Nothobranchius furzeri: one gene and its partners. The protein of the gene in region 1 interacts with the protein of each later gene in a pairwise test. Links are inferred from orthologs where the notes say so. Each region holds a gene or a part of one and is shown on either strand. Other genes may lie near its edges. The genes, in order: siah1, upp2 and inha.

What was found.
Region 2: the proteins of siah1 (region 1) and upp2 interact in binary tests that used the Homo sapiens proteins (3 or more experiments, as listed by UniProt). The two-hybrid records come from large-scale screens. The link is inferred for Nothobranchius furzeri from reciprocal best matches to the Homo sapiens genes SIAH1 and UPP2.
Region 3: the proteins of siah1 (region 1) and inha interact in binary tests that used the Homo sapiens proteins (3 or more experiments, as listed by UniProt). The two-hybrid records come from large-scale screens. The link is inferred for Nothobranchius furzeri from reciprocal best matches to the Homo sapiens genes SIAH1 and INHA.

Annotation. Positions count from the first base shown.
Region 1 is NC_091744.1:81,654,359-81,658,112, forward strand, and holds the start of siah1 (E3 ubiquitin-protein ligase Siah1), read left to right. Parts: upstream 1-1,018; 5' UTR 1,019-1,248; coding exon 1,249-1,366; intron 1,367-3,547; coding exon 3,548-3,604; intron 3,605-3,754. UniProt on the Homo sapiens protein: E3 ubiquitin-protein ligase that mediates ubiquitination and subsequent proteasomal degradation of target proteins.
Region 2 is NC_091754.1:18,953,204-18,956,957, forward strand, and holds the start of upp2 (uridine phosphorylase 2), read left to right. Parts: upstream 1-1,537; 5' UTR 1,538-1,656; coding exon 1,657-1,712; intron 1,713-1,783; coding exon 1,784-1,898; intron 1,899-1,983; coding exon 1,984-2,142; intron 2,143-2,226; coding exon 2,227-2,341; intron 2,342-2,438; coding exon 2,439-2,648; intron 2,649-3,754. Other genes in the region: uncharacterized protein C7orf57 homolog, read left to right, coding at 552-636. UniProt on the Homo sapiens protein: Catalyzes the reversible phosphorylytic cleavage of uridine to uracil and ribose-1-phosphate which can then be utilized as carbon and energy sources or in the rescue of pyrimidine bases for nucleotide synthesis.
Region 3 is NC_091742.1:62,956,554-62,959,476, reverse strand, and holds inha (inhibin alpha chain), read left to right. Parts: upstream 1-835; 5' UTR 836-939; coding exon 940-1,237; intron 1,238-1,333; coding exon 1,334-2,067; 3' UTR 2,068-2,335; downstream 2,336-2,923. UniProt on the Homo sapiens protein: Inhibins and activins inhibit and activate, respectively, the secretion of follitropin by the pituitary gland.

The DNA of each region.
Region 1 (3,754 bases):
CGTCTCTCATGAATGCAGACCCAGCAGGGTACAGTGGAGGATAGTCTTTAGTGTTTGTTTTCGGCTGAGCTGATGGTGACATCATGGTGTCCTGCTGTAGCTTCAGCGCTGCTGCTGGGACATATCGGTTAGTTTAGTTTGGGGATTTTACACAACATTTAAAGTTCAATCTTAAGGTGGAGACTGGGGCACACTCCCGGAGGTTTGACTAACATTTGGAATGGGAATGATTTAACCTGCGGAGCAGGAACGCTGAGGGAGAAGAAGAGTGAAACTAGGAAAGGAAAAGCAGTGAGAAAGTGAGGTTTGGTGTCAGTGAGGGCAGCTGGTGGTGCAGCCTGCAGCGAGACGGGCTGAAATCTGAGCCGTGCACAACCACAGCACTGCACGGGGTGGGGGTGAAATATGCAGGCTTTATGCTGACATAACCATGTGAGAGGCACAGAGAGGGAAGGGAAAATCAGGCCCGTTAAATCACAGGTCTGATGGGAAAATAGGGAAGAGTGTGTTTGGACTGACATCTGATGGCTGCTGGGCTCTTTTACACAAACACGCGACACCTACGTCACTACAGGAGACGACACCCCATGAACACCGGTGGAGGGAGGGAGGGAGATTTCGGACTTTCCCTTCTTTTCCTCTTCAGACTCTGGAAACACTGGGCTCTGATTATTCCTGTCGTAACGCCGTGAAGGAATTGTTTTTTGCTGCTGGAACCATGTCTTGCTCTCATTTTGGTTGCAAACCAGCGTTTTGGAAAAGCGCTTTGTAGGAGAGTTTTTTTTTACACACTTCTGCAGTTTGGTGCCAAATAGTTCCTGAAAACCTGGCCCAAGGAGCCACGGAGGTGGAACGCACACATGGATTATTGTCCAGTGTTGGAGGAAGCGTGGTGGGATGAAGCTTTTTACTGAAACGGAAAACGACGCTGTGTCGGCGGTTCCACGTCCTTTTGTGTAATCGTCCTAGTCTTTGTTTTTTCGTTTGGCTCGTACCCGACAGACAGACTGCTGCAGTTCCCACCTAATAAAGGAATTATTCATGCTCGTAGCTTATTTTCCTCCCCATCCTGTTATTTTTAGTGGGTTTGGAGGACTTGTTTCCTGTTGCGTGGACCCAGCCTTCGTCTCTTTACTACAACATATCCGAGGGGCAGGAGGAAGAAACATGATCCGATGTTTGGGGCAGCAGCAGTGTGTGGTTTCTGTGGAAAAGGTCTGGGGAATGTGGCGGGGGGGCGCTGCATAAATGTCTTTGGTCCAAGTGAAATCAAAGCCAGCGAGCGTAGCTCTACCGTCTCCACCCTGGAACTCCCTGCTCCGACTCTTCTCGTGTGTCGCCACGAGGGATGTCCACACGCCTAAAGGTGAAGGAGCCCAACCCCCGAAGTGCTTCCGTTATCTGGAACTACGCGGTTCCTTTTCCCACTCATGGATCTAATGTGGTGTTGCAGCTGTGGTCAGAGGTGGGGGAGGGAGGAGCTCACCTTCTGCTCAGCTGTTCCGCTTTAAGACAGCTTTGTGTGTGTGTGTGTGTGTGTGTGTGTGTGTGTGTGTCAGTCAGTCATGATTATGTTGAAGCTCCGCTTGTTTTCATCTCTGCTCTAAATGATGATTTTATTCTGTAATAGAACATCCGGTTTTGTTATCAGGGCTTCAAACTATATGATTATTAATCTAGAATATAATCTACAGAACCATAGACGATCCTGCAGAACCGTCCTCCCCAGCAGTGACTCTCAGTAATCCTGGCCTATTTGATCCGGTTCTCATGCGGTTCTGGAAGAGTTCTGATCCAGTTTGCACAGATGCATTTTGGCACAGCTTCTCTGACTGGACCGCTGCAGCACCTTGGTTCTGTTGTAGGTCTGCTGTGTTTGGGGTCGTTGTCCAGTTTTATGAGCCGGTTAGGTCCAAACTTCAGATGAGGTTCTGGTGGACCACAGAACTGGCCCAAACCACCAGCCGTCCTCCACCAGCTGACATCAGCTGTTAGATTTTCTCTAGACGTGCTGCTGTGCATTATGGGTAAACGTCCTCCCTTCAGTCTCCTCAGTCTGAAGGACTTGATGCCCAACGTCTCTGCAGTCTTGATTCTCGTGTGGATTAAACTGAAGTAGCAAAGTTAATTTCCTGTTATTTATGAAGAATTGGTGCGACTTTAGGTGTGATTGGAATCAGACCTGATGGTGTAACAATGATGCAACAATCCCCCCCCCCCCCCATCACATGTTGGTGTAGAAAATGGGGAAAGTTCCAGTGTGAACACACCTTTACCTGTCTGTGTTTTTGGGTCAGGTTTGTTGTTGAATCCTGACATGACATGATCATAAAATCCCGGAGACAATCGCTGAGTTAAGAAAGCAAAAGGATGGACAGACGAGTAGACGTCAAACTCAGTGGTTATTCTTTTGTCCTTTTTAAGAGGATGAACTGTTCGGAACTGAACTCAAAGGAGAATCAGAATGAAAAAATCTGATTCCAATTTTAATTGTCCCACAGAAATTTTTTGTGCCATTGACTCCCATTCAAACATAAAAAAAAGCTAAATATCACCATACATTTTTTAAAATTTCACTCCAACTGTGTTCCTGCAGCCACCAGGGACTGAAGTTATTTTTACTTTTTTCCTCTAAATGGCATGGCACTGATTTATAACACACTCTAGTAATGTATGTTTTGGAGATTGTGTGGCCAAAAATATTTTTATGCTCATTTGTGACTAGAGCCCTCACAATTCACCCCCAAAAAGTCCTCTGGACATGACACACAAATGATTTAGCATTTTATATTTTTATAATGGTTTTTTTTTTTTTTTTTGACAAAACATGGCACTAAAGGGGTTAAATCTCAAAAACACCCCCCCCCCCCACCCATTTTCTGAACCTGCTTTGTCCACGCAGGGGGGTGGGGGTGTTGGTGCCTATCTCCAGCGGTCAACGGGCACAGGGTACACCCTGGACAGAGAGCCAGTCCATCGCAGATCTCAAAAACACTCAGATATTTTACTTTGTTTGGTGAGGACTGAAGCTAAGGAAAGAATCTGTGTTAAAGATTTTTGACTTTTGAAATGTTATATAATTTTTTATTAAACATTTTGCCAAAATGCATTTTTTTTTGTGCGAGGGTACCAAGTGTAGCTTTTTTTTAAAAGGAAACTCCAAAGGTTAAAAATTAAAGAGATAAATGAAGCGTTGGGTTTGTTAAATATGAATGAAATGTGCTGGCGTCACCAGACAGCCCATTATGGACGTGTCCCTGTAATGGACGCTCCATTAGCAGCAGGTGAGTGGCTGAGAGGTTCTGAGTCTTCTGCTGTCCTCCAGCTGCTGAGCTGATTCCACACACGGGCCTTAAAGTGTCCTTGTCCAAACACTGACTTTAGTTTTAACCACATTCTTTATTTCTACATTTTATTGTCCGATTAAAAGCAGCTCCTCTTGTTTTTGCTGCAAGGATGAAACCTGAATCTGGACTCGATCAGCGCTTGAACTGAAGGGAGCAGATAGTTGAGTTTGTTTTACATTTGTGTGTTTTTGTCTTTTCAGAGGTCCCTTCATTTCAAGATCAGACGAAAGCCTTATTTGGAAATCTTATGGACGAAGGTGAGTAGCAGAGCCTCCGGGAGGTGACCCCCTCTTCTCATAACTAGTTATTGTGAATTTATCTGAGCTGCAGGTTCTCGTGCTTATAACTGATGGCTGCTGATTCATGTGAGGGAAGCTAGATTTTCTGTTTTTAAAACCCAAAATAGT
Region 2 (3,754 bases), on another chromosome or scaffold:
GGATCGAAAGGAGCCAGTTGAGGTGGTTTGGGCATCTGGTCAGGATGCCTCCTGGACGCCTCCCCGGGGAGGTGTTTCGGGCATGTCCTGCCGGCAGGAGGCCCCCGGGTCGACCCAGGACACGTTGGAGAGGTTACATCTCCAATCTGGTCCGGGAACGCCTTGGGGTCCTGCCGGAGGAGCTGGTGGACAAGGCCGGGGAGAGGACGGCCTGGAGCTCCCTAGTTGGGATGCTGCCCCCGCGACCCGGACCCGGATAAGCGGAGGAAGACGAGACGAGACGAGACGATGAAATGCTTTAGCTTGCTTTCCAGACTTAGTCATGTGTACTTTGAGAGAATACTTTTGTAATAAGTAGCCAGAGTTTGTCCAGGGATACAAAGTTGGGTCAGTCAACAATAAATCACGTTAAATGTTTAAACTGCATCATCTGCAGTCCCTCTGGCTACCCTAACAGACACTGAGATGATTGAAAACATTATAACATGTTGCTAATTTGATCATTTCATGAAAAAAGTGTTCAAATCTAATAAATTCTCTGCTTTTTTCAGAGTTTTTGACAAGAAACCAGCACCGGTGGACATGTCCAAGCTGCTCCGCTTCGGTTATGCAGAAGAAAACAAACCAGTACAGTGAGGTGTCAAGTAAGCAGCACAACAACCGACTTAGTCTTGTTTATCATCGTAAAAACACTTTATAATGCAGTCAGAATGCATTTGTAACACAATAAAAGCAAATGAAGGATTTTATGAGATGGTTTTATGAATAGCCCTTCTGAAAATACAGAGACACAAATAATAAAGTGGATTAAACCTTTAAGGGCTGAACCATTAGGATTTTATGAAGTATCCTGACAGTATTATGTAGTAATATTAGTGAATGATTAGTTATTTTTCATGCCAACAGGCTGGAGGACTGCCAGAGGCGCTTCTAAAGCTAGAAGAGTAGACGCCATCTTTTCTTCTTACAATCTGTGTCACGCTGAGCCACAACAAGCATTTAAATTGGTTTTCAAATGTTGAATTAAAAAAATTAGTTTTTTATTTATTTTTCTTGTTATTGGAACCTGATTATATACATCTCTTAAGTTTTGTGCTGTTTCTGTTAAAAAATATTTGACACGTGATTAAAATAAAGTTGAAAATATTCAAAATTTCTCTTTTTTTTTCATTTAAAATCTCATCTTAATCTTGACTTTTAGCTAGGTAGCCCTATTAGTCAGCTTGGTAACTCTGTGCATCTGTTTTGATATGTCAAGTTGTTTCATGTCAGGGTCAAAGGTTATCTCCGTGTTCTCTGAAATTATGTCACAGCATGTCAGGAGTTCGCTGGGATCAGATGGGCTGTCGTTAAAACGCTGCACTCTGAATCATCCCGCTGTTTTTATGTTCTCCTCGGTGCCGTCAGTGGGGAATTATTTTTTTTTTTTTTTTGCACGTTACTCGTGTTTTGTTTTATAAGCGAGTTTATGTTTGACTAGTGGGTGCTTTTACCAGAACAGCGATTGCCGCTACTCCTCTTTATAGAGCCAATCAGTGACGAGGTCAGAGGGGACCACTATATCAGCTGTGCAGCTGAAAGTCACTCCTGTTAGAAAGAAAGCTTTGCAACAAGTTCTTGAACGATCTTCAGCAACCTTTGAAGAAAACCGAAGTCATGGCCCCGATTCTGATTCTGAGCTGCATGGGGCACGATCACAACGAATACATCAAGTGAGTATATCCAGCGTTTTACTATGGTTTTACTTCTGATCGTGGAATAATACAAAAGAAAATACTTCTAGACAACAAGTCCAAGTGAAGAATCCCTATTTGGACACTATGGAGGAGGACATCTTGTACCACTTCAACTTGAGCACAAAGACTCACAACCTTCCAGAGATGTTTGGAGACACAAAGGTTTGTGAAAAGCGGGATTTAAGAACAAAATCAGAGCTAGTTTGATTACACAGATGTCACCTGCTCTGTTTTGTATCTTTCACAGTTTGTTTGTGTTGGAGGAAGCGGAAACCGAATGAAGTCTTTCGCCCAGTTCATGCACAAGGAGCTAAACTTGCCTGGAAACCCAGAGGACATCAGGGATATCTGTGAGGGAACTGATCGCTACTGCATGTACAAAGTGGGACCAGTACTCTCTATAAGTGTAAGCACTTAAAACATTATAATACACACATTTATTATGAATCAGCAGATTCCAGGATTAATTTCCATTTATTGTTTGTGACAGCACGGCATGGGAGTCCCCTCCATCTCCATCATGCTGCATGAGCTCATCAAATTGCTGCATCACGCTCAGTGTCATGATGTGGTTCTGTTTCGCCTGGGAACCTCTGGCGGTGTTGGTAAATTAGTGTTTTTATATTCAAAACTGACAGAAAGCTTCACTCGTGTTGTGATCAATGGGTGGTAAATATGAAATGTCCCTGGTGTTGCCTCCAGGTCTGGCTCCGGGGACAGTAGTGATCACTGATAAGGCAGTGGACTACTCCTTCCGCCCCCAGTTTGAACAAGTTGTTCTGGGTAAAGTCATTACCAGGAGCACGGAGCTGGATGAGGGCGTGGTCAGCGAGCTCCTGCAGTGCTCCCACGAGCTTCAAAACCTGCCAACTGTCATTGGAAACACCATGTGTACCCACGATTTCTATGAAGGTGCCAAACTCATAATAATCCACATTTTATTTTGAAAGAAACGTCTTAATTGAAGGAAAATGGATGCTGTAATCACAGTTTGCTATGAAAAACCCCAAAATGTTAATTCACTATGAGAAAAAATATCAAAGGAAATGATAAAATGTTGAAACAATTTAATTTCACTGCAGAACAGTTATGCCATATTATCTCTCTGCCTGGTAAGGTTATAGCAGACAGGTGGCCAATTCTGACAGAAAACAAACAGCACCAGCCATAACACTCCCCCCCCCCCCCCTTAAGAATAAAGTTATTAACTTTAACACAAATCCCCCACCCTAAATCACAAAACAGCCCCAAAATCAATACTATATGATTAACTGCAGGCCAATGGCATAGGTGCAAAGCAGGAGCTGGGAGGCGACAATCAACTCTGGATTCGATGTAGACAATACAGGTTCCAGAAGTCTCACATCCTTTACACAAACAAATCCACTGCTCACCCAAAGTTCAGTCTCATCACAACGATGATATCCAACAGCGACAGTGATCTTCACCAATGCTCCAGTCTTCCAGACAGGCTGCTCACAGTCACAGATGCAACCAGTCTAGGTGTCAAAGAGACAGTTCACAGTGAGGAAGAGTTTTTCAAAAGCTCTGACCTCTTCCTTTTTAGCGTGGCTAAGCCAGTATCCACCGCAGATGTAGCCACACCAGCAGGGATGACAGGAGGCGGGGCTACCAAGGGTGACACATCTAGGCTTCCAGATCCACAGCACCGTGAGAGCGACGCTCGGTCTTCTCCCCCTACAGAAAATTCGGTCCATTTGAGCCATCTTCAAATCCAGAGATGATGTGTCACCTCCCACATTCCACACCCACAACACACACCAATGAGCGCATGGGATGGAGCGTCTGAACTTTTCTGAAAAAAAAAAATCAATAAAATAAGAAAAACTCCAAAAATATCAAACACCCAGAGGAAGAGCACATGTCCAGGAAGAATTAGGGATCAAAAGAAATCCCGGACGGGCCCCTATTTGTTACGATCCAAGCTGTCTAGAGGGCCTGGGGTAACAGGGAGGACACAAGTTTGGGTGTTTAAAAGTTAACTTAAACAAATTTAT
Region 3 (2,923 bases), on another chromosome or scaffold:
GAAGAAATTTTTTATGTTGAATTGTTATGGAAAGCCATGGAAAAATGATTCAAAGTCATATAAGTGTTTTTTATGTGTCAGTCTATATTAATGTCGATGGTCAGTCTTTCTTTTTCATACTTTGCATTAAAAACAGACAAGACACAAACTGCAGATACAAAACATGGACACAGGGGTCGCTGTTCTGCAACATTTTCACATTTTATACTTAATGGGATTTTTAGCCAATACATTTCGTTTTTTTCCTTTAAAAATACTCATTTCTTTACTCATTTTTCTAACCAAATAAATGATCAATTTAACTTTTTTTATACTATTCTCACCATGCTTGTAAAAAGTTTGTATTTTTACAGTAAAATCTAAGAAATCTGGCTTTAACGAAAACGTCTAACAAGAACTTTCAGTTTTCTTACTCAATATTTTGTTTCTAAACAAAATTTTTGATACTGGAGTCATGGAAAACATTAATGAAATTCTCAAAATACATGTTTAAATTTCTTCTTCAATCAAAAATGAGTTCTCAAAAGCACCTCAACTAGAAAGGAGCACTTTTAGTAGAGAACACAAATGTTTTAAATGAAGTTTGTAAAAGTTCCTTTTAACTAAATGTTTCTGAGAGACAATAGTTTTCTAGGAGGGATTTAACTTGGTGAGATAAGGAGGCAGACAGGAGGCCTTTTAAGCCCGCAGAAGATACATTCATCATCATTTAGAAGAAATAAAAGCAACATGCATGAATTATTTGTGTATTTAATGACAAAAATATATTCTACTGGGTGGACATTTTTTATTTAAATCATGCAGAGAGCTTCTGACTGTGAAAAACCTGCAAATCAGAAGTTCCAAGGTCATCCTTTATCATCATTTGTGAGACAGTAACAAAACGCTGCAGCTTGCAGACTTTTCTCAGACCCAGAGAGCAACAACATCAGTGCAGTCATGGTGTCCTGTGGTATGCCTCTCCTGGTTCTGCTCTGGATCCAGAGTTTGGTCCAAGCCTACAAGCCAGAGGAGCTGCCCAGGGGAGTCATCTTGTCCTGGTTTAAAGAGCGGGTTCTGGAGAACTTGGGTCTGGAGAAGCCACCTCTTACCAAGGTACGGGGTCCTGGAGAGGACACAACACCACCAAACGTGGAGCAGAGACACAGGAGGGTCCTCCGGACCACCAGAGCAGTGAGGGAGAACCATGAACCCAGCAGGGACCGGGACACGTCTCAGGTGATTCTGTTCCCATCTGGTGAGAAGCTTTTTTTTTTCATTTGAGTAAAATAAAGTTTTGTAATTTACCTTCAACTTTTCTTTAGGAACCTTCTCTTTACTTACGTTCCTGCAGACTCATCTTTTGCCCTTGTTGACTCAGCCATGAATAAAAGCACCAGAAGCTACTTCACCTTCTACTTCCAGCCCTCTAAAAACCTTCAGGCCGCTGTGGTCACATCTGCTCACTTCTGCTTCTTTGAGGGAGGAGCTGGTTCGTCTGCCTCACTCTTCATCTTCTCAGCACAGCAGCTCTACCAGGCAGCACAAACTCCAACACTGAGGAGCTCTGATGGATGGAGCACCTTCAGTCTGGATGGGCCGTTGATGAACTCCATTGCTGAGGGTCCATTTCTGCTTCAGGTCCGGTGTCTGGCCTGTCAGTGGAATCGTGACCCAGAGCAGATGGCCTTTCTTCATCTCCACGTCAAGCCCAGGGGTCGTACCCGTTCTCCCCGTGATGCAGCAGTAACCATCCCCTGGTCTCCTACAGCCCTACACCTCCTCCAGAGGCCCTCACAGGAGGAACCTCAGCACGACGACTGCCGCAGAGAAGAAATCGAGATCAGCTTTGAGGAGCTGGGCTGGGACAGCTGGATCGTCCAACCGAAGGTGCTTACCTTTTACTATTGTCATGGGAACTGCTCGGCTTGGGATCGGGCCGCCGCTAGATTAGGGATGACTCAGTGCTGCGCGCCGGTTCCAGGGTCCATGAAGTCCCTGAAGATCACGACAACATCTGATGGTGGGTATTCCTTCAAGTATGAGACCCTGCCCAACATCATGCCTAAGGAGTGCACCTGTGTCTGAACCCCAAAGGTTCCCCGAAATCCCTCCCACTGAGAGACTTCCCGTGGTGACCTGCAGATGTGATGGATTTTTCTTCAGCAGAAAATGGGGAAATTCACTCGTTTAATATTTTAGGAGTTTAGCGTTCGTATTAAATCGTCTCAGATGAGAGTTGTGGAACTGTTCATTTTCTTTTACCTAACCCAAACCAAAAGATGTGATTGAAATTTCTTTGTACATGTCGAGTTAAAAATGTCTTTGGATTCTGGAATAAAATAAACTGGTCAGACTTCGTGATTTTAAAAACAAATTTTTTTCCCCAAAAAATATTCAAAGCTGCAAAAGCTAATCTGCAAACAAGCTAGCACCATTCTTTTTTTTCATGCCTCTTGACCACAAATCCGCCTTTTCCTGAGTCCTCCACTCTTTTCCTGCTTTTAGCAGCAGAACACCACTGGTGTGAGAGGTTCTCCGCTCAGTGATAAAGGAGAAACAGCCAGCTGCTACCACTTCAACTTTAGGAGAAACTATCGGAGTCCGAAAAAGAAAAACACCATTTGAATTCACGAACAGTTTAACCCTCTGGAGGCAGGCGTTGCAGATTAGCAATGCTAAAACCTACCTACCTGGTTACGCAACATACATATTTCATGAGCATTGTTTAACTCAGAAGTACCCCTGAAGGGCTTGAATGTTCGTCCTTTTATCAAAACTTATTGAGCCTGAGATGGTTAAGATATTTGGACCTAAAAAACACCATGTAGTGTTTAGCGCCATCTGGTTTCCTCTGCCAATGTGAGTACCTACAATCGGGGGTGGCCTACAGGGATGATCTAATCTGACAGCCATAATTATTAGTTCTGACACTCATAATTTG